Lonchura striata: one gene and its partners. The protein of the gene in region 2 interacts with the protein of the main gene of each other region in a pairwise test. Links are inferred from orthologs where the notes say so. Each region holds a gene or a part of one and is shown on either strand. Other genes may lie near its edges. The genes, in order: MGAT5B, RBPMS and QKI.

The links.
Region 1: the proteins of RBPMS (region 2) and MGAT5B interact in a two-hybrid assay, tested with the Homo sapiens proteins (2 studies listed by BioGRID and IntAct). The two-hybrid records come from large-scale screens. The link is inferred for Lonchura striata from reciprocal best matches to the Homo sapiens genes RBPMS and MGAT5B.
Region 3: the proteins of RBPMS (region 2) and QKI interact in binary tests that used the Homo sapiens proteins (3 or more experiments, as listed by UniProt). The link is inferred for Lonchura striata from reciprocal best matches to the Homo sapiens genes RBPMS and QKI.

What each region holds. Positions count from the first base shown.
Region 1 is NC_134621.1:3,824,671-3,832,374, forward strand, and holds the start of MGAT5B (alpha-1,6-mannosylglycoprotein 6-beta-N-acetylglucosaminyltransferase B), read right to left. Parts: upstream 3,964-7,704; 5' UTR 3,897-3,963; coding exon 3,829-3,896; intron 1-3,828. UniProt on the Homo sapiens protein: Glycosyltransferase that acts on alpha-linked mannose of N-glycans and O-mannosyl glycans.
Region 2 is NC_134606.1:72,059,449-72,067,152, forward strand, and holds the start of RBPMS (RNA-binding protein with multiple splicing), read left to right. Parts: upstream 1-2,074; 5' UTR 2,075-2,142; coding exon 2,143-2,205; intron 2,206-7,704. Other genes in the region: DCTN6 (dynactin subunit 6), read left to right, coding at 2-100.
Region 3 is NC_134605.1:37,265,064-37,272,767, forward strand, and holds the start of QKI (KH domain-containing RNA-binding protein QKI), read left to right. Parts: upstream 1-2,247; 5' UTR 2,248-2,354; coding exon 2,355-2,496; intron 2,497-3,087; exon of another isoform or gene 3,088-4,923; coding exon of another isoform or gene 4,924-4,951; intron 4,952-7,704. UniProt on the Homo sapiens protein: RNA reader protein, which recognizes and binds specific RNAs, thereby regulating RNA metabolic processes, such as pre-mRNA splicing, circular RNA (circRNA) formation, mRNA export, mRNA stability and/or translation.

The DNA of each region.
Region 1 (7,704 bases), on a different chromosome or scaffold from region 2:
GAGAGTAGGGGAGATGCAAGATGCTTTTTTCCTAAAAAAAAAAGAATAATAAAAAAAAAGATGAATTGGAGCCTTACTGGAATTGCTGTCTTTGGGGGATCAGTGGATCCAGCCCAGAGCAGTGCTCCAGGGAGCAGGGATGGTGCAGGGCTGGACTCTCAGCCTGAGAACCCCAACTCCCTTACTTTTGCTGATGTTCTCCAGGTGAATAAAAGTGCCTGGCCCAGACTCACCTGAGTGGAAACTCCTTATACAGAAAATAAATTTACCACAAAGTAGGTAAAACATAACAGATCCCAGATGGTCCTCTCTCCCAAAATCAAACCTAACTCCCTGAAGACTCTGGAGTTCCAAGGACCAAATAACACCTATCCTGCATACTGGCTTTGCCTGTCATCCCATGTCATGTTTAATTAATCACTCGGACACAGTTCTGGTGTCAAGTCCCTCTCCACATCCTCCCCAAACTGAAATGTTCATAGTTCTGGGCTCTGGCTTGGTGCCCAAAAGAAAAAAAAAAGTGAAATTCCTCAAGTCTTAAATGAAAATTGGAAGTGATGCCCCAGTCATGGAGGATTTTGGCCCGTGGAACTGAAAGCTGGATGTGACCAGGAGGGTCTGAGTGCTGAGCTGGCATGTGGTGGGGGGAGGAAGGCCAGCAGCACCCAGCAGGATGGGACTGTGACACTGGGAATGTGACACTGGGACTGTGCCCATGGTGTCACATCACCCAGCTGGGACCCACAGGGAGAATCCCACCCAGGTGAGGGGGGGAAACCAAGAGCCAGGTAACATCTTTTATCAGACAAATCTTCAACTCCCAAAAGCTGAGCCACCATTCCTACCAGCAGAGGTCATGTTAATGAACGACTCCTCTCCTTAAATCCCTTTTTGCTTAGAGCCCCACAGGGCTGTGGTGCTGTCAGACCGGTGCTGAGCCACGGGCACTGTGATCCATGCAGGGACCAGAGTGAACTCTCACTGACCTCTGTTACATCCCACAGAAAGCCTGGCTTTGGCTCCCAGCTGGCAAACACACCCACAGAGCCCAGAGCTGGGCGAGCTGGAGCAGGGCTCCTCGGTGAATTCTTGCCTGCATCCAGCACCACGGCAAGCGAGACACTCTTTGCTGCTGGGATGAAGTCAGAGCCGCCCTTGGACATTCCTGTGCTTTTCCAGACCGATCTGCTCCCTCTCTGCAGCCTCCCTCCCAGCTCAGGGCCCTGCATTGCTTTGCTCAGCGTGTCTGGAGGGTGGTTAATGAAATGTTTTGGTGCACAGGATCAGGTTTCCTGTGTGCTGTTTGCTGATGGCACCTCACCTCTGATGGCAGCAATCCACATCAGGCAGGGATCGCACCACGGGCAGCGAGGCTTTGCCCAGCCAGCAGCAGGGGAGGATTTACAGGACCCAGCCTGAGTGCCAGGACCTTCTCCCACTGCTGGAGTTATCCCTGACCCACAGCAGCCGAGGATGCGGGGTGCTGATGCTGGGGGAGAAGAGGTGATTTGCACTGGGTTAAGGCTGGAGCTGGGCAGTGCCAGCACTCACCCACGCAGGGCTGGCAGCAAGGTGACACAGGACTGTGGCATGGGGGGTCACATGCAGCATGACAGCAGCAGGGAGGAGGTGCAGAGGTCCTGGACACTGTGGGACAGTAAGGAAAGGGTCTTGGGAATTCCTCCTCTTGCAGAGAGAGCCTGGCTGTTAACAACGAGGTAACCCTGCTGGTTCCAGTGGCACCAATACTGGTCTGGACTGGTTGGACAGCAGAAGCCAGCCCAGGGCACACGGCCAGGACAGTGCAAGTTCTCCACCTGGACTCCAGAGACCATCCAGCCATCACAAACCCCTCATCCACACACATCCCCATCCCTAATGGGAGTTTGTGATCACCCTGTGCTCTCCCACCCTGACTCCAGGTCACTGCTGGACACGGGGCTCCCCTGCCTCAGGGGTGATGCCCAGGGCACAGGGATGCTCCAGCCAGTCGCTTCCTCACTGTGCAATTCAAAGCCAGTGAAGAGAGCAAACAGCCAGGCAAAGAGCATTCCCCGGGTGAGTGCGCCCTTCTCGCGTCCCTCGCATCACTCCCTGCTCCACTCCTGAGCTCTGGGAGCCCTCACACCTCTGCCAGCGCTTTGTGGCATCCCCTCGGCCAAGTTCCCCAGCCGCAGGCAGCAGAAATCGCTCCAGGCAAGCAGAGGCAAGCAGCTCCCGAGGAGAGGCAGACAAGCTGCCCACACCTGAGAGCGAGCGAGCGGCGCAAACCCAGCCGGGGGTAGCCCGGGCTAAGCAAAAAGGCAGCGAGCAGATCCCTGCGGTGACCCCAGAGCTCCAAACACAGCGAGGAGCGCTGGAAACCGCTGGGCTGGGCTCGCCCCACCTTGAGCTCCGTCCCCCGGCACGTTCGCCTCTATCTCTAAGGGGTTTTGGTCCCTCTCCCCACGGAAAAACCAGGTAACTTCCAACATCTCCCGTGTGTCTCAAGCTCGGGAGCAACAGAAGCTCATCTCCAGTAAATCAAGGAAGCCGGAGAGCAGGGGCTGGAGAGGGAAGGGAATGTATGGAAGCAAAAATGGGGAGTTACAGCAAGGGGAAAAAGCAATGGGTGGGTACGGGTGTGCTGGAGCCGGAGGGGTTCAGGTTTGGACATCCACCCCAGCCCCACTGCCAGCTCAAGGTGGGTTTCGAAATCCCCAGCTGCACCAGCAGGCTTAAACCAGAGGAACCTAATTCCCCCGGAGTACCAACATCTCCTAGAACCATTCTCAAAAAATCCAGCGGCGAGCAGCCCGGCGATAACCCCAGAGACACCTCCGGCGGCGGGGCGAACCGGGAGCTGGCAGGCAGCGGGAGCTGCAGGAGCCGCACGCTGCCCCGCGGGCAGACCTGCCTGGATCCCTGTCCGGATCCCTGCTCGGATCCCTGCCTGGATCCCTGTCCGGATCCCTGCCTGGATCCCTGCTCGGATCTCTGCCCGGAACCCTGCTCGGATCCCTGCTCGGATCCCTGCCTGGATCCCTGCCTGGATCCCTGCTCGGATCCCTGCCCGGATCCCTGCCCGCATCCTGCCCGGATTGCTGTCCATATCGCTGCCCGGATCCCTGCCCAGTCCCAGACCAGTCCCTGTCCGGATCCCTGTCCGGATCCCTGCTCGGATCCCTGCCCGGTCCCTGCCCGGTCCCTGCCCTCATCCCTGCCCGGTCTCTGCCCGAATCCCCGCCCTCATCCCTGCCGGGATCTCTGCCCGGTCCCTGCCCGGTCCCTGTGCGGTCCCTGCCCAGTCCCTGCCCGGATCTCTGCCTGCATCCCTGCCGGGATCTCTGCCCGGTCCCTGCCCTCATCCCTGCCCGGTCCCTGCCCGGATCCCTGCCCAGTCCCTGCCCGGTCCCTGCCCAGTCCCTGCCCGGTCCCTGCCCTCATCCCTGCCCGTTCCCTGCCCGGTCCCTGCCCTCATCCCTGCCCGGTCCCTGCCCGGTCCCTGCCCGGATCCCTGCCCAGTCCCAGACCGGTCCCTGTCCGGATCCCTGCCCGGTCCCTGCCCAGTCCCTGCCCAGTCCCTGCCCGCATCCCTGCCCGTTCCCTGCCCGGTCCCTGCCCTCATCCCTGCCCGGTCCCTGCCCGGTCCCTGCCCAGTCCCTGCCCAGTCCCTGCCCGCATCCCTGCCCGGTCCCAGCCCGGTCCCAGCCCGGCTCGCTGCCATGCCCATCCGGGCTCCATCCGCACACCCCACACCGCACACGGAGCCCGAGCCCGGCCAGCCGCAGCCCCCGCCCGCAGCAGCCGGGCGAGGCGGCGGCGGCCAGAAGCGAGCACCAACTTTACCTAAAGGGTCTCAAGGTGACGAGGCATCTTCTGACCATTATCTTGCCATCCGCGTTGACAGTGATCATCGTTCGAAGTTGCGGGCAGGGGGCGGCCCCGCACCGCCCCAGCGGCAGCGAGGGCGGCGGCGAGCGGGGCTCGGCGGGCGGGGCGCGGGGCTGCGCGGGGCTCCGGGGGGACGCGGCCCCCCAGCCCTACCCTCGCCCCTGCCCGCTGCCGCCCCAGCCCATGGCCGGGCCCGCTCGGCTCCGCTCGGCTCCGCTCGGCTCCGCGCACCCCGCGCTGCGGCTCCGCTCCGCCCCGCGGAGCCTCCGCCGGGCTCCGCCGGGCTCCGCTTGCCATCTAGCGGCAACCCGGCCCGCAGAGGGGCGGTCGGGCAGGGGCAGGGGATGTGGGGCTGCGGCAGCCTCCCCCCGAGGTCAGGGGATGGCGTTTTGGGCAGCATCCCCGCGCAGCTGACAGCCCCGGCGTGGGCACCTCGGGAGGCAGGGATGGTCCTTTGGCGGGGCAGTCAGAGCAGAAATGCCACCGAGCGCCGTGCCCGGGTGCTGTTTGATTTGTAGGGGGTGTTTAGGAGCAGGACAAACCTCCCTAGTGGGGAAAGGCGGGTCTGGAGTCTCTCGACAGCAGCAGGATGCAGCTCTGCGGCCCCATCGCTGTTTTCTCTCTGGGTGCACGGTGACAGCCACCATGTGGCTCCCCAAAGTCCCCCCGGGTGGTGCAGGGTGCTGCCAAGAGGACCAGGGCCGTGTCCTTGGGAGGGCAAAGGGACGTGAGAGCTGAGGCAGGAGAAGCAGTGCTGAGCTCAGCAGAGGTGTTCCCGGCTCTCCTGTGGAAGGTGACAAGCACAAAAAGCCTCCCAAAAGTTGGGACTTAAAGGAGCCAAGTGTGCACAGAGCCCAGAGACGCCCCATTTCCAGCCCCAGCCAGGATGGGTGCACCCCACTGGGGGTGAGGGAAGGATGCAGCACCCTGGGGTGAGCACAGGACAACATTGTCCCCCCCCGGCCAGGCTACAGGACAGGGCCAGGCTGTGGTCTGGGGGCTGTGGTGCCAGCAGAGCCCCCTCATGCCACACTGCCCTCATGGCTGGCTGTCCCTCTTTGCTCTGGATACCACCATGGGTACCGTAAAGCACAGGGTGACACCAGGGCACAGCTGTCCCTTTGCCTTCCCCACAGTGGGATGCTCTCTTCCCATGGTTTTTCCCAGCCTTTCTCCATCCCATTTTCCTCCAGAGAGAGAAAACTCCCTCCAGCCCCACCTGCCTGGCCTGGCTTAGTGATCTGCACCTCGAGTGCTGAGCAATTCCAATGCCCTCCCAGCACCAGCCACCCACTCCTCTACAAACTGACCCTGCTTGTGCATAATCCCAGGGTTTTCCGTGGGGCTGAGGAGGTGGAAATGCTGCTGTGATACTGCATTTCCATGGCCACTCCAGATGCTCACACTGCTTCCTTCTCCCCAGTGGAAACCAGGAATGGCCTTGGTCAGCAAAGCTCCAGGGAGCATAAAGCTGCAACAGCACCAGCCACGAGTGAGCTCAGGGATAGCAGCTGGAAATTTACCCCAAACCAGATTTTTTTTCCCCCATAAAACAGCTTTTTTTTTTTTTCAAGCAGAAGTGAGAGGTAAAACCGTATTCTCCAGGACCTCTGAAACGCAGGAGGGTTTTTGTGTTCATCCACGTGTTTTGTGGGCAGGAAGGAGTCATTGCCACACCAGGGCTGGGTGGGATCCCAGCAGGATGCAGAGGGATGCACAGGCTGAGGATTTGCAGGAAGTGTGGCTCAGGAGCAGCAGCCAGCCCTGCCAAGCCAAACCCTCAGTTCATCTTGGCAAGGACACCCTTCCCTGGAGCCCATCCTGTGGGGACCTTGTGGACACAACCAGGCACGGGCAGAGCCCAGACACCAGCTGGGTGCTCAGTCCCTGCTAATTTAAGTGCAGCTGGGAGCACCTCTGGAAAAGCCACCTGGAGTTCTTCACTGCCCATTGGGCAAGGAGTGAAGTGCAGGTGCTGTGGGGATGCTGCTACCCTGATTTCCTGCCTTCTCACTCCATTCCTAGCTCCTGACAGGAATTCTCGGTGCTCACCTGAGCTATGAAACCACCTCAAAATGTGGTGCTGCCCTCCAGAGCCCGGCTCCAGCCGGCAGCAGGAGGCAGAGCCCTTCATTCCAAGAACTGCTTTCCAAATCAGCTCAGCTCTGTGGGGCTGGAAACTTTCCTAGAGCACAAAAACGCTGCATGGAGTGGGTGGTGGAGCAGCCTGGCATGTGCCAGGATCCAGATGTGCCTTCCTGAGAGCCTGGGAGGGACAGGGAACATCCCAGAGGGGACCAGAGCTGATGTGGGCTCAGTTCTGTGGGGTGGGACCCTCTGACCTCCATAAGGATAATGCCAAGGTCCTTCTGTGCATCCCACAAACTCTGGATTGTGCCAATCCAGCTCTGCCCAGCAGGAAAATCCTGGGGAGTGGTGAAGCACCACACATTAATTATTTAAGAATTAGGGGTGGGTGACACTGAGGGGAGAAGGGATGGTGTCCTCCCACTCCTCTTTCCAGAGCTGATCCTGGGCTGGAAAACACCCCCAAAGGGTTTGGATGTTTTTTGGGCAGGCAGAAGGCAGCTCAGCCATCTTGGCTTCCCCCAGGTGCCTCCTGCAGCACTGACCAGGAAATTAAAATAAAATAAAATATAAAATAAAATAAAATATAGAAATATGCTCTTGTCAATCTCCATGCAGATGCTGGCAGGGCGCTGGGTTCAGCAGGGAACAACTTCTGCAGTTCCCAGTTCCCACCGGAATCAGCCATGCAGGATCCATCACCCCAGGGATGGGAATGTGGCATTCCCCACCCCCCAGGGCCCTCATCCCTGAGGAGAAGAGCTGCAGCAGCCAGTCCTTTCCCTCTGCTGCTGCTTGAAACAAAAGCTTAATTAACTACCAGCTCACTGTCTGTTTAGAGGGATAAATCTAAAATCCAAGGATGGTAATAAAGCAGTGAATTATCTTCTTCGGCAGCTGAGAAGCAATAGCCTCAAAAATCAATATGCTGAACTTATACTGCACACACACACACACACACACACACACGCACTTTTGTTTGTTATTCCAAATTCAGCAGCAGCAGGGAATGGAGAGAACCAACTCAGCAGCCAGGTGGCCCAAAAGAAATAAGTTTGGCACCAATTAGAGCCCCTGGCCAGCCAGAGGCAGACATGCAGCATCCTCAGAGCAGGCTCCAGGCTGCTCCTCCCCTCTGCCTGTAATTGGGACAGGGCCAAAATTCCAGCTCCAACACCAGAGCATCCTCTGGGAGATGGGACTTGCCCTGCACCACTGGCCTAGTGCTCTGGTTTAGGGCAAATTTGTGAGGAAACTTCTGAATGGGGTCCCTGTATAAAGCAAATTAAGCAGCCCCTCCCTGCTACTGGTTTGGGAGACATAAACCTCCTTAGAGAGAAGTGGAAAAAACTGTTTATTTAACAAGCAAAGTGCTCACAGAGATGGAAAATGAACCCTATCAAACAATGGAACCTCTCACTGTTCTGAAGAGATGGCAAACTCAGACATGCCTCATCATGAGGCGTGGATCAGCTCTCTCAGTCTCTTTATCAGTCCCTCTGGGCTGGAAATTGCTGCATCCCAAACCCCAGTGGGCCACAGGTGTGAGCTCACAGTGTTTTTCTGGGTTTTCAGTGCAGAGAAAGGTAGAGCAGTTCCACAAAAAAGAGAAAACCAATCCAGGAAACTTCCCTGCCCCAGCCAGCTAAAAACTAACTAAAAGCCAAGGAGAGCTCTGTCCTGCTGTCTGTCCGTGCTGCAGCCAACACAGTCCAGGAGAAGGAATGCAGAGGAGCAAGTGCA
Region 2 (7,704 bases):
GCCCCAGACGCTGCAGCTGGATTTCCTGATGAAGATCCTGCCCAACTACCACCACCTGAAGAAGACCATGAAGGCCGCGTCCACCCCTGTCAAGAGCTGAGCACTCACCTCATGCTGCCCGTGCCCAGCTGGGTGTTTGGTCCTGGGAAGCACTACACACTCCGGGAAGAGTCCGGTCGCCACATCCCTCATTCCATCAAACCATTTCTTCCTTGTTTGTGTCATTTCTTTTTCTTCCACTGGGATTCTCAGACCTGCTTCGAGTCTGTCGTCGCTCACGCGTTAGCTCTATTGTTTGTGCTTTTTTTCGGGAATAAAATGCCTCCAGTTCTGCTGTCCGAGGGAACCGCAGCCCTTTGAGTGTGCGGGGTGCGGTGCCCGGGTCGCACGGGCGCTGTCGGGGCGGGTGTCACCGCCGGGGACAGCCCGGTGCCACCTCCCCGCGCCGCCCCGTCGCGCCGGCAGGGGGCGGTGTGACCCCGCGCTCCCCGGGGGTCCCGGCCCCGCGTCCCGGATCCACGCGGGCCCCGGGGTGGGAAACACAGGTGGACATCCATGCAGCAGAAATTCCTGTAGGGAAGAGGGGATAGGATCAGCAGCTAACACAGAGAAACCCAGACTTCTGTGGGACATGAGGCTTTGGGTTCAGGTCGGGGGGTTCAAGGCAGGGAAGCGGGGCAATATCTGCTGGAGCAAATTGGATTTTCTCCCCAAGTCCAGCTTCATGGCTACAAAAAATCCAAACCTCCCCTTTTTCTGATTTGTGATTCCAACCTGGGTTCCAGCGCTGCTGGGCAGCTGCAGCTCTTCCCCAGAGCTGAGTCCAAATAAGGGTTGTGAGTATTGTCCCGTGCACTGTCCAAGCAGAGATTTTTGTCTAGATGCCTGTGGATGGGGAAAACAAAGAGATAAAACACATCTCTAAATTTCCCCCCTGCTGAAAATCTACCCCAAAAGCCAGAGGTTCCAGCAGATTTGGGTGACTAGATCAGTCCCTGTGCTCTAGATTCCCTCTAGGCTCAGCTGCCTTGTAGCCAGACACTTCCCGCTTCCCCAAATCCAGCTGGCACAGCTCATTTTCACCTCCTTCTGTCCTTTGAATCGCTGCCGCGGGGATGATGCAAACCTGTGGGTGGCCAGGCTGTGTCCCCTGGGCAGCCGGCAGGACAGACGGGCACCTGCCCCCAGGTCTGTTTCGGCTGGTGAGGCGCAGAAAGGCAGGCGGTGACCTTAAGGGCCCGTTGGGAAGGAGCCCTGTGCCCCGGGCAGGATGTCCTCGGCGTCACCTCCGGCCGAGCGCTGTGCCCGGGCAGCACCTGGGCTGACACAGCTGCTGCTCTCCACCCCGAGGGTCACAGCCGCCTCCCCGGGGCTCTGCAGGGCTGGAACGACCCAACACCGAGCTCTAGAACGAAGCGTACACGATGCCAGGTCCAGCGCAGGCTCAGCAAAAGCCTAGCCTAAGCATGAAGCCTAAGTGCAGTCCCCGGGCTGGGCAGGGAGGGGTTGAGCCCCCAGGTGGGGCCGGTTGGGGTGATGAGCTCCCGCTGGTCCTTCCACTGCCCCCAGCCCTGCACCGGGTCCCCTCCTCTGCCCCACAGCCGTAACACGTTCATGTCCCTGGGTCTGTGCACCATGTCCCCAACGTGCTGTCCTGTATCCTTAACCTTGCGTCCTGTGTCCCCAGCCTTGTCCCGTGTCCCCAGGACTGTGTCCCGTCTGCCCAGCCCTGTCCTACACCCCCAGCCCGTGTCCCATGTCCCTGAGACTGTGTCCATCTCCCCATTCTTGTGCCCCATGTCCCCAGCCTTGTATCCGGTATCCCCTACGTCCTAGACTGTCTTCTATGTCTCCAGGACTGCCCTGAATTCCCAACTCCGTGTCCTGTGGCCCCACATGGCACTGTGTCCCATGTCCCTAGCCCTGTGTCCCGCGTTCGCATCGCCCACCTCCCGTATCCCGGCGCTCCTCCATCCCCCCGCGGCCCGGTCCGTCCCCGCCGCTCCGCCGCGCCCCCGCCCCGTCCCTCCCCGGCCGCGCCGCCCCGCCCCGGCCCCCCCGCCGCCGCCGGGACCAGCCCCCAGCACCGCCCGCCCGGACGCGGCTGCCGCCGGCGGGACGAGGAGCCTGGCCGGTCGCACCATGAGCAGCGTCCCCGCCGACAGGGAGGGCGGCCCCGCCGACACCAGCCTGCCCGAGGAAGAGGTACCGGGGGGGACACGCACCGGGGATTTGGGGCGGAGGGGCTCCGGCTTCCCCCTCCCCACCCGCGATCCCCGGGAGCTGCGCTCCGCGGGTGCTCACGCACCGGGCTCCCGGTACCCGGGGCTGCTGCGGGGGGGACAGGGACGAGCGGCGGGAGCGCATCCCCGCTCCCCGGGACTCTCCCGTTCACCGCCGGCATCCCCCTGGGGCTCGCCGCAAACGCCCCTCCGCCTCGCCGGAGGAAACCTGCGGGCGCGGGGAGCCCCACGCGTGACACGGATCGCCCCGGGGGGCGTGAGGGATAAATCAGGCACTCCCCGGTCCCGCTGCCGGTGCCTGGTGCTGCCGGTGCCCGTGGGTACTGTGCATCCAGCGGCTGTGAATCTCTTTCCCATGAGTCTCACCCCAAAAATATCCGAAACGCTCCCATCCCCACGGGAGACCAACCCCACACCCCGTCACGGTGAGTGCTGGTTTGCTTCATTCCAGCCGCAAAGTTCCTGGTTTTGCCCGTGACCTTGAGATGGGAATTTGGACTTTGCCAGGGTGAGAGCGGGAAGATTCCGATCGGAGATCTCCTCCTCCTTACCCTCCACCCGGCTGGGCTGCTCCAGCAGGTCCCTGCTGGGCTCCCTGGTTGGTGGCCAACGCTGGGATCAATCACCGCAGTTCCATCGCCCGCTGCCGCCTGCCTTCATTTGCTTATTCCAGAGGTGGTTCTGGCTTCAAACTTCCCAAAGTTTCCTAAAAAACGTGGAGTTTTTTTCCACTGGTGGCCTGGCGGACTGTGTGGGAGATGATGCTGCGGCTCTGGTGGGCATGGCATGGGTGACACCCATGGAGGCCTGTTGCCTTTTCCAAAAGCATGGCCTTTTCCAAACCCATGCCGGCAAAAGGCAGCCCTCGCTCTGCTCCCGGCCAGATCCGCAGGGCCGGGGGCTGACTGTCGCCCAGGGGAACCCCCTGACCCGGTGATGCCGGACATGGGGAACACCCGGACGGGACGGCTGGGAGGTGCCAGGGACACGCACAGAGCCGAGGACACACGAGGAGGGCGATGCCCGCTCCTGCCTGCAAGCCGCGCTGCTCCGGTGCCAGGCAGGTATTTTCCTGGCAGGACTTGTTCCAGCCCAGGCTGGAGAAGCCGGTGCTGTCTATTTGCTCAAGCGCAGGGAAAGGGGTTACTCAGCTACTGTGGTGCCTCACCTCCCCACTCCCAGGGCTTGCCTGCAGCCTCCTGTTCCCTCAGAAAAGAGGGAGAAGCAGCCCCCATGCCGGGGAGGTCAGTCGGGGTGCTGCCAGGTGGGAAAAGCCCCCGCTTCATGCCCGCTCCTCCCGCCTGCTCCTGGCGCCCGGGTGGCTTCCCCGTCCCTCTCGCCTGTCCCCCCCGGGAAGGACACCCCCCGTGCAGGGGAGCTGTGGGCCAGGGGCTTCCCCACGTAGGAGCCAGAACAATTTGGGAAGGCGGTCACGTCACTTTGGCCGGGCGAGAACGGCATGTAAAAGGCTCGGCGGAGGCCTTATTTGGTAGCGGAGTGGCTGCGGAGAGCCCGGCTCGTGGCCCTCGTCCCCATCCCATGCCAGATCCCTCATCCCGGGGGAGCCGTGCCATGGGGAGGGGACCCCAGGGATGCTTTCTAGGGGGAACGTGTCCAGCGAGTGGATAAAATCTGTCCCCGTGGCCCCTGCGTTGCATCCCCCCGCGCTCCTGCTTCCTTTCCTCCTTGAAGCGTGGGGTCCGGAGGGTTTGGGAGCAAGCTCCAGGCGGGACAGGGACGAGTGTGACCCGCGCCTGATCCCGCCGCTCCTCCGCTCTGTTGCAATCCCCCATCTGCTCCCTTGGCTGCTCACTGCCTTTTCCTCTGCCGCTTCCTCGTTCCAGCCCCGGCAGCTCTGGACTCGCTTTTCCCCAAGGGCTGTTCCTCTCCTCCCGTCCTTCACCGGACGTGCGAGAACCGTGATTTTCCAGCAGAGCGGCTGCGGGTGGCGAGGCCGGAGATCTAGCCCGGTCCTCCCGTATCTCCCGGGCGGAGAAGCCGGCATCCCTCGGCCTCAGCCTTGTTTATGTCGGGGAGTTTTGCGGGCTGAAGGCATGCGTACACACAGCCCGGGAATCTAAACCCAGCCGAGGAAGACGCTGCATTAGCCAAGAGATTATTTATGCCTGGACTAATCCCGGCGGGGTGGGGATGCACCCCGCTTTGCCGGGAACGGGAGGGGAAGCCCTGCTCACACGGAGGGTTGCACGGCTCGGTGGCAGCCCCGTGCCATCGCCCTCCCGCTGCCGCCGGGATCCGGTGCCTCCCCGGCGGCGGGCAGTCAAGCGGATAATCGGCTGGTGGAGAATTAAAGCGAGCCCCGCTGGAAGGGGCGCACGGAAGGACGGACGAGGGATGGGAGCTGGGCTGAAGGAGGCGATTAAATGCCTCGTGGATGAATCACCCGGACGCCTCCCGCCTTCCCAGGGCCTGTTTAACGTTTACCGGGGGTGGTTTGGGCAGGACAGGGCGGGACAGGACAGGACAGAGGACCGGGACCATGCTGGCAGGACACTGCCACTGGGGCACCCGGCATCCCTCCGGGCACTGCCGTGTGATGGGGGTCCAAGCCAAGCAAATGCCCCCCCGGTACCTCCTTACCTGCAGGAGACAAACCTGGTAAGCTTGTGGCTTCATGTGAGGAAGAGGAGGAGGAGGGCTTCCATCACGGACCTCTCCATGCTGGGGTCATCCTTGATCCATGCTCTGGAAACCCCGGTCACCTCCTGGCCCAGATCTTTGCCTCTCCTGGCATGTCCTCAGCACTGACCATCTCGGCAAACCTCCACAGAGCCTTTCCAGTATCCCTTAAACTGGCCCAAGACAAGATGCAGGATTTCAGGGACAAAAGACTGGGATGGTGGGATGCAAAGGTGAGTGGGACAGGCCAGAAGGGGGATGGTGATGATTTCCAGGGAAGAGGAGAGTAGCACAGAAGAGCAGACTTCCTGCAGCGAAAACAAAAGCCAGGAGGGGACACATCAGAAGTGAGGCAATACATGTAGGATCCAGGAACCCTGGCAAATCTGGGAGCTGTGGGGTGCAGCAGCAGGAGCCCAGGAGGACTATGGAAAAGGGACTTGGAGCATTCCCATAGCTGCCATCCCCATGGAAGGAAGTCAAGGTGGTCACCTTTGAGCTCCTCCTGGAGCAAATATTGGCACTTATGGCTTTTAAAAAAGTCTTTGGTTTCATCCCAAATTTAAGGGAGAAGGAGAAACGGAGAAATGCTCCACCAAATAGAAACTGAAAGATGTTTGTACAGCAGAACTGAAACAGCTCAGGATGTCCAAAAAGACTGTGGGGTTTAAGCTGGGGGAATCCCATGCTCCAGCGCCCTTTAATCCTTGCTCGAGAGCTGTCAGTCTGGCCCTGTCCCATGACATCCTTGGGAGTAGGCGTTGTGCCTTATCCAACTCTCTGAAGGAGTAATTCTTCCCTATGGGAGAACATATATGTGCCTGCTGCCTGAAATTTTTCTGATAATGCTTTTCGTTTTTCCTGCTTCAGGGAAGGATTTTGCTCTAGGAGTGTTTCTGGTAGAGGATGGGGACTGAATCCCTGGGATCTCTCAGCACAAAAAAACCTGGAGCAGCTCCCTGCGGGCCAAAGCTCCCCTTCCATTTAAGGGCAGGAGTAATATTTCTGTCTAGAATCTTTCCCTTGGCAAAATCTGTCCAGCCTGCTGGGATTATCCCCAAGGATGCTCCCTTGCTCTGCCAGTCCCACTGGCTCATTACCCAGTGAAAGGATGCTGATTATATAGGACCTACTCCAGCATCCCTGGGGCTGTGTGCATTTGCGGGATGCAGATGGGGAGCACCCAGGAGCTCGTATCCATCCCTTGCCCTGGGCCCCAAAAACCCTTTTGGGGCTGGAATGCAGCTGGGGGATCCTTTGGAGCCCTTCTCCTCTTGCCGCTGTATAATTTTACGGATTCGAACTTGGCCGACCCGCGTTTGAACTTGCAAAGAAAACAAAGTCATTAAAGAAGAGAAGCCCTTCCTCTGTGGGGCTGAATTTCGGAGGCTTCCTTGGGATCTTTCATATCTGTCTCTCTCCCATGTGGCTTTGGGGACAAATGGTCTGGCAGGCTTGGGCACGCACAGTTTGGATTTCAGGGATGCGCACGGTTTGGATTTCAGGGATGCGGCAAACTGGCAGCAGCTTTCCCCACTCCCCCCAGTCCCTCCCACTGGAGGTCCCTAGTGTTTCCTGAGGCTCCCCAGGGAGAGGAGAGGCAGGAAGCCAGGGATGGCTCCAGGGATGAGGGAGGCAGGGGACACCGTGCAGGGATGCTCGGCCTGCTCAGGATGTAAACCCACCTGGGAGGGTGGATGTGTCTGGAGAGCCGATTCCCTGGGCAGCAGCCGTGCTCAGGAGAAACTGTCTGACAGCCAGTATTTTTAACCTAGGAAAGGAAAAGTTTGCTTTCTTTAGACTGAATTTCATGGACACAAGGGGAGATCCTCCAGGTGAATCCCCCCATAGCCCCTGCCAGGAGAAATTCGGGCAATGTCTCCACTGGGGGACGGGGCAGCACTGAACGCTGTGGGATGCTCCACCACTCCCTGGTCTCAGCAGACAGGCAGAAAGCTGGCAGGGGTCCCCTAAAGAGTTTGGGGGGATGGTCCCGATAGAGGGGACAGGCTACCAGGCTGTGCCTGCCTGTAGCCCTGGCTCAGGAAGGGGTGAGGACATCCCTTCTCTGCTGATCTCATCCAGCCTGAATGCTGGTACCCACAGGGATGATGATGGTGATGATAATGCTGGCACCCAGGATAGGTATCACTGGGGCTGTTGACACAAGGGCTGTGTGCAAACAGCTGAGTACCTTTTGTTATTTAATAGATATAGGTCAGCCAGAGGTTTTGTTCCACAAAGCAGGAACGTTTGCTGCTCCCAGGCTGGGAGATGGGGGAGATAGCTTATCTGCAAGAGAAAGAAGAAATGTCAGCAAAAGAATAGGTCTGGGCTGGCTGTTTCTGGCTGTTTCCCATGTCTCTTTCCCAGGGAATGGGACAGGCAGGGTGCCTGGCCAAAAAAATTAAATAAAATACATCAAGGTTTTCCCCTTCTACAGTCCAAAGGGTTAGGATGAGATTTTGGGGATGAGGAGAGGGCCAGCATGTTCAGTTCCTCACACTGCTCTCCTGCTTACAAGCTGGTTGTAAAGCAAAACCATCCCAGTTTTCCCATCCTTGAGGAGCCCCACATCCCCCCTTCAGGGTGCTAGGAGCAGAATTTCTGTCAAACATCCCAGCTTTGAGGATGCTGCACCATGATAAACATTACATCCACTCAAAAAGGGTTAAAACTCCTTAAAAGGTGACTTTTACAAACCAGGGACAAGCTGCTTAAATCCAGCCCCCTCCTAAACCAGGGCCTTTCCTCCAGGAGGAAGAGTTGGTGTTTGCTTCTCCCAGTCCTTAATGAGCTGCTGTAATTAAACTGAGACAAT
Region 3 (7,704 bases), on a different chromosome or scaffold from region 2:
CTTACTAAAGATACAATTTTTTAAGGATAGAAGCAGTAAAACCGACTTACCTTACATAAGCTGTTAATTTCTACTAATGTAAACAAATCCCTGAAATGACATAAAAACTCCAATGTCCAAACAGAGTTCTATCTACCTTTATAGAGGGGGAATATACAATGAACACTGGACATAATGCAATAATTCAAGGCATTCTTACTGTTAAGAGAACTACACGTTCTCTACATTTTTGTCACATCTTTCAGGAAAAGCAGAGTTAACACTGCTTGACAATACCCAATGACATTGTATACCTGTCAAGATGACGTGTCTCTGTTTCTTTTTAGTTTAGGAAGCATTGTTCATTGCCATTAACCTAACATTGAAAGTATCTTCAAAAACCGTGCAGTATGTATTGAAATGCATTTGAATTTTTTACGGATTTCAAGCAATAGCTAGACTTTATACTTAGTCCTATGAAATATGACTGTTTTCAGCGAGCTACGTGAAGAATGCAGCGATTTTCATCCAGCTTCGTAACAACAGCACTGCCAAGCTACCGCGAACTGCCTCCAAGCTCTTAAGTGCTAAATACCAAGAGCACCGAGTAGCTGCGCGGGGAAGGAGGAATACGTACAAGCAACAGCGTCGCGCTGCTTTGCCTCTGCGGCTACAGTGGATGGAGCACGTGAATTTTGGTTCTGGCTGCTGGACACCGCTGCTCCCGTCACGTCTCCCATCCAAACCCGTCAAACAAGCCACGGCTGATGCCAAAACGCGGCGCTGCCCTACAGGCAACAAGGGCGGCGCGCAGCCCTGCCGGAGAGGCTCGGGCGGAAAGGAGCTCAGCGGGCCGGGATCCGGCCCGGGCTGCCGGCCGGGGCAGGCGCTGCGCACTCGGGGGAAAGGGTCGGCCCTGCCCGCCCGGGGCAGCGCCAGCGCGGACGGACCCCGAACCTCTCCGCACCCCGCCCGCCGATACCCGACGCTCCCGGGACCCCGCGGACGGGGGCTCCCGGCAGCCCCGCTTCTCCCTCCTCGCCCCGGCGAGGAGCCGGTCGGCGGCATGCTGCCGGGGCGTTCCGGCGGCTCCTCCGGGGCTCCGCGCTCCCCGCCCGGCCCCGGGACCGAGCGGGAGCCACTCCTCGCGCCGTCCGCGCCGCCCACCGCCCGCAAGCGCGGCCGCGGTCCCCGCGCACACCTGCCCCCCTCCCCGCCCCGCCGCCACGCGACACCGGGGCCGCGCGCAGCGGCGAGAGCGCGCGCGCCCCGGCGCGGCTCTCCCCGCCCCCGGGGTGCACGTGACGCGTCCCCGCCCCGGAGGTGCCGCGACGCGACTTTGTTTGGGAGAGTTCCGCGCGCGCGCGCGTGTTTCCGCGCGGCGGGGCCGGGCGGGAGCCGCACGGGAAGCCGGCTATCCCCCCGCCGCCGCCCCGGGCCCCTGGAGCGGAAGGGAGGGAAGGAGGGAGGGAGGGACAGCTGTGGCTCCGCCAAGCGGCGCTACCGCCGCCGCCGGGCAGCGCCCGCCCCGCCTCTGGTCCCGCCCCCGGCGTGTCCCACCCCCGTGGGCCCTGCCCCCTCCCCTCCTGCCGCCGCCGCCGCTGCTGCCAGCGCAGCCTGAACTGAAGCGAACTCCGGAGCGAACTGAGGAGAAGTGAGGAGGCGGCGGCGGGGCTGAGACTCAGCAGCCACAGGCGGCGGCGGCAGCAGCGGCAGCAGCAGCAGCAGCGGCGGCGGGAGGGCGGGCGGGCGGGAGGCGGAGAGGAGGAGGAGGACACACGCCAGGCGCAGCGCGGCGGCAACAACAGCAGCAGCGGCGGCAACAGCGGGGAGACACCGGCGGCGGCTCCTCGGAAGCGGCAGCCGCGCCAGCAGCGCCCGCCCGCCCCGCGCGTCCCCTCCCTCCCTCCCCCGCCGCGGAGACAGGGGGCAGCGCCGAGAGGAGAACCGGGCTCGGCGTGTGTGTGCGCGGGAGGAGGAGGAGGAGGAGGGGGGACACACCGAGGACTGCGCCGGCCGAGGGCGCACGGAGCAGGGGAGCGGCGGCGGCACCGAGAGGCGGCGGCGGCGGGTTCTTGTGCCCGGAGAGGAGGGCGCAGCCCGCACGGGGGTTTCTACCGAGTTTCCTTTTTTTTTTTTTTTTTTTTTTTTTTTTTTCCCTTCTCGGTCCCTGGGACTCAGCGGCGGGTCTGCGTTTGTCTCCGGATTTGAATCCTCCTCCTTCTCCTCCTTCCTCGGGGAAGCTCCCCTCCCCGCCCCCTCCCCTCCCCCACCGCCTCCCTGCCCGCCCGGATCCAGCCGGGCGCCCCGTGCCGCGGTCGCGTTGCTCGGCAGAGCTGCTGCGGGCGCTCGCCGTCTCTGCGCGGGCTTGGAATATGGTTGGGGAAATGGAAACCAAGGAGAAGCCGAAGCCGAGCCCCGATTACCTGATGCAGCTGATGAACGACAAGAAGCTGATGAGCAGCCTCCCCAACTTCTGCGGGATCTTCAACCACCTCGAGAGGCTGCTGGACGAAGGTAAAAGCCCTCGCCCGGCCGCCGCCTCCCCCGCCCCGCCGCCTTGCCCTGCCTCCCCCGGCCCGGGGATCCCGCTCGGCCCCCCGCCCCGGCCCGGCCGGGCGGCGGGGACGGCCGGGGCCTGTTCCGCTCTCCCCGCTGCTCCCCGCACGCTCCCGGCCCCGGCTGGGGAGCCGAAAACAAAGGGGAAGTGCGGGCTCTCCCCGCCCTGGCCGCCGCCGCGCGGTGCCGGGGGACTCGGGGAGCGAGTGGGAGGGGAGAGGCAGCCCCGGCCGCGCGGGTCCCCGATCCCCCAGGAGCGCTTTTCCCCTTATTTTTCCTTTTTTTTCTTTTTACCCTTTTCCTCACTATCCCCTTAAACCGGGGGAAGGGTAACTACGGCGCGGAGGGGAGGGAGCGAGGAGAGGAGCTCAGGAATGCGCTCTGGGGGAAGGCAGGGAGGAGGGGAAAGGCTGGCTGGCGGCTGGCGCTCCCCTCCCTGCATCCCTCCCTCCCGCGGCGGCGGGGGACACTGGGGTCCTGCCGGCGCCCTCGGAGCGCTCCGCCGCCCGGCCCCGGGGCCCCCGCCGGGGGGGCGGCGGGTGTTCGGTTTCGAGATTTGGCTGTTCTGGAAGCTGCTTGGACTTGAATGACTAAGGCGGAGGGGGGCTGAGCTCTTTCTTCGGCTCCAGATCTACCCCACCCCGAACTGGCCGCAAACTAATTACGATTTTCCTATATCGCAAGGGAAGCGAGTAAATTCTTCTCTCGGCTATCCTTACCTTTTAAAGAAACTGAACTTGACAGACTCCTTCCTACGTGTGACTTTAGTGAAGAGGGAGAAACAAAAAGGATTACGAAATTGCCTGGTCTGCTCCTGCCAAACGTCCACCCCAGCCTCGCACCCGCTCCTGGCACGGGGCGAGGCCCCCCCTATGCCCCCAGTTTTTCCCTAATAACTTTGTTTGGGGTTAAGATTTCACAAATAAATAGTCACGCTTTAGAAATGAATAAGAAAAGTACGAGCTGGGAACTTCCTGTGTCCCACACGTTTTCCCACTACAGTAACAGACCCACTGTGTATCAAAAATCAGGTGAAACACTTGTTCGTAGTATTTTAAATTCACCTTGTACTCGAGTTCACGGGTTTGTTTTTTTTTGTCGAAGGCATTTCCTTTCCTATGACTTTAAATCTAGGCTTTCTGATGACTTCGACCTGCGTATAATAACTATTTAGTGCATTACAGCAGACCTGTTTGTTTAATCGTATTTGATAGCTTTGTAGAATATGATATGGCCATAAATAATTTATACAGTTTCAACTTGTAGGGATTCTTAGTATGAAGTACTGATTTTCGAGATTTTGAGTTAGGGTTCTTGTTTGCGGATGTATTCATTTTCGCTAAAAGAAGTTTGGGAAGTTGTTGACCTCGGAAGATGAAAGAACTGGTTATATTTGGTAGAACAACTCCCCGCCCTCTGCCAAGACTGCAAAAATGAGATAGCGACTGTAGTGCGACACAAAAATAGCGTGTCGAGAAAATGCTACCTTCTGAAATAAATGATAGAGGAATGTAAAGGAACCCAAAAAAACGATGAAGAACACTCTAATACGGATTGTGGGAAGCATTAAAATGGGAGAGTCTATTTTTATTTTCAAGATACTTGGAGGAGTTTGATTTTATATTGGATCAAATGTGGATGTGAAGAGCAAAACTATTTTAGAACTTACGCTCTTGGTCACCACAGTGAACAACCTCTTCAGAATAGTTAGATTGACAATAAACATCAAGAAGAAACTTGACCGAGAAGACTCCTTTATAGCACAAATGAGCCTTCCAGAGGTTTGGTAATGGATTTTTAAATTGTGAATCTTTTCAACTTAATGTATTTGACCAGAGGAGGCCTGAAGCTGTTTTTTTATTTTCAGAGAACAAAAGGAAGAAAAACATTTCCCGACACAAAAAAAAAAAAAACCACTGAAAAAAGGAATTCCAGAAATACTTATATCTTGTTATATATTTTGAAATACGGAAAACTCTGGAAGTCTGTTTGCAAAGTATTGGAGTTCCAAAATGAGAGCTTTTGTGTCTCTTGCTGACAAAGTTTAAGGACTGTGTTGGAACTGTTCTTCACTCTCTTCTTCTAAAGAAAAGCAAATAAAATATAATCTGTGATCCTAAATGGTCTCTGGAAGAAGCCTGCTATCCCTTTAAGCTTTTCTGCTTTTCCTGTTTACGTTGGCAAATGGGTGGAAGTATTGTGGAGGCAGAAAACTTTTTGGAATGTTGAAAAAAAAGTTTCATGCAAATCTAGTAAATTACTTCAAGACTTCAGAATTTGAACACTAAGGGGCGCCAGTTATTTTTTTTTCTGAGGCGTGAGTCCGCGAGCACCACTATTGACTCGGGCAGTAAAATTATCAAATCTGGTAGAAGACGCCAAAGAATGACAAAATACTTGTGGATTTGTGCAGGTATCTGTATTTGCATGTACCTTGACGTATTGTATACTTACAGGCAGTATTACATAGGTGGAATAGGCAGTAGCAGTGAACAGTTGAGAAGTTGGAACAAGTGTTTCTCTGTAGAACACCTATCCTGGCTACCAGTGGGGGCTGTGTTAAATATCTTGAACTGCATGCTCCACTGACATCCTCCAGCAGAAGGGTTTAGTAATAGTGAACTACAGGTTTGCTGGAAAAGTCTGCAGGATTTCATGTGCTTACTGGAAAGTGTATTATTTCAAGGTTTCATCAGTTGTTTCCTGGCACCCTTGAGAATACCAAGTATTTGGGGCAAGTGCATGTATATATAGGTATATATAATCTAAAAATAAAGTTACAGGGTTCACATTCCCTCTTTGCCCCCTCCACCCTGTCATTTGATTTGCTGCTTCTAGTTTGTTGTTGTGTGCTTTAGGTAGGTGTTTGTTTTTGGGTTTTTTTTAGTTATAATACAACTATTTTCCTAAAGGTTTTGTTTATGCTTGAGAAGAAAATATTATGATCAGCCATTGTCTTTTATTTTGTGTGCTGATCAAAATAAAGAAATAAAGTCACAAGCCTAAGAATTCAAACAAATAAAAGTTAGGATTGCCTTCCCTAATGGAATGCTAGGGTAGTTTTTTTATTATTACTTATTTATTGTTCCATGATACTTATTTACATGTTACACGTTTTATATTTAAAAACAGAACTCAAATGGGCTTTTGCTGTGGTTACGTCTTGTAATTGTATGCAGCAAGAGATAGAAAGAGACCTGTGGTTTTAGGTGAATAGTACATCCAATCTGGTTAAGTTACAGATTTTTGGGTCCATTGCTATGCTGCATGTATTATCGAAAGCATGTTTTCCTTTCTGAACTCTATCTGACTTTTTGATCTCAGAAAATTTTAGTGCTTGATAGATGATCTCTGTCTTGAAGACTACCTTAAATGTAAGAAATGCATTGAGGAAACATTTTTTTTTTTTAAGAACTACTTTCATAAAATGTGAAAGTTGCTGTTTTGTTTAGGTTACATTTATTTTTCCATATGTGTGCTTTTAACTTGTTATGTGTAAATAAGCCTTCTGTGGATTAACAAGGATGTTTAAAGAGCACATCATAATAACTAGGAAGCTGAATTGTTTTTATCAGACTGGTGCAAACCTGTGGGAAGAGAGGGCTTTTCCTGAATGTGGAATAGGCTGTATTTCCTGTAATTGTTTGCTCCATCAAATGTGACCTGTTTTTTTTTTTTTTTAATTTTTTTTTTTTTGCTTAAGTTTTTGAGATACTAACTTTTATGATGCTAACCTGGATTTTCTTTTCTGACAACTTACATATTTTAATGCTCCCTGTCGTGAACAGTGAAAAGAGCAGTACCTGTTTTCTTGCACTGTTTTTAAAAACTGAATTGGACATTTCAAACACTTCAGTAGCATGTTGACAGATTTAAATTAATGAGGTACTTCAGTTGTATTCTTTCATCAGACTATGAACAAATGTGCCTGAACTATTAACTGAGATCTGAGTAGTCTAATTTATAAATTTACATTTTGTTTTCTTGAACCTGTAAGTGCACAGACTCTTGCACCTGATCAGAATGTACACAGATCAGACCTGTGGTCTGAACTGTTTTCAAAAAGAGATTGAAGAGGACTTTATCAGAAATTAATTTTTTCTTAGTAACCTATCCCTGAAAAACTTAGTCTTTCCTTCAAAACTGTGTTGAAGGTGACTTAAATGCATGTCTGCCTTTAAATGTAAATTTAACCATGCATCTGGCTATTGGAGATAAATCTAATTTTGTGTCAAATAGGCTTCCTCTTTCTGTCTACCAAGTTTAACAAAGCTAGCGTAATAACATCCAGGTAGGCAATATGAGGATAAATTTTTGGTGAATGTTACTCTCTCTGTTTAGTTTTCTCATCGAGAAAAGTGCACGTGAAATTGGGGAGCTTAGTGCCCAGGAGTGCAGCTTTTGCATCGGTCTGGTTGTACTAAGCAAAACATGTGCATGAGAAGTAGGGCTGAAGAACTATGTTCCCTCTGAAGTTATGTAGTTACTTTTGTACATAACCGTATTATTTGTGATTATGTACATGTAGCCTGTGCTTAGCTAGGATTTTGCTGATTTTTCAGATTTGATGGAGGGGCACTGGCCACGTTAGCCTGTCAGATTTTTCACTTGTATCAGATCTTGCAATGGACCCCATTAATTCATTAAAAAATATGCTTCTTAATGCAATATTCAGGGATGAGTGTTCTTTGGGATAAAGGCCTTACAAAAGGTGTTTGCCCAGAGCGTCTCAGACTAATTTTTAAACTTGGTGTATTAATGTTAAAATTGTCAAAGTAGTGTGCCACAAGAGCATTGAGTATTGTTTGTGTGCTGTTTATCATTAGTACTCTTTTGAGTTTGGTTCTTTAATTATCTCTTAAAACTTAATGGTCTGAGGTGTTTTTCTGATTTATGACTGTTGTAATGCTTCTAGAACTTGTGTTCAGAAACCTTGTAAGAGCTATTTTGAGGTGTGGGTGTTTGGTTATTTTTTGGCATGGGGAGGGAGTGGCTGCAATACCTTGGCACAGCCTCTCATAACACCAAACCAAAAGCTCAATTGCACTTAAGAAACAGTGTGGTAGTTTTTTTGGCTTGTGGAAAAATATTTAAAACAGCAACAGTTAACTTTTTTTAAAAACTACGTTATTTTTGGAGCTGTTTCTGCAGCATTTATAGGTCACC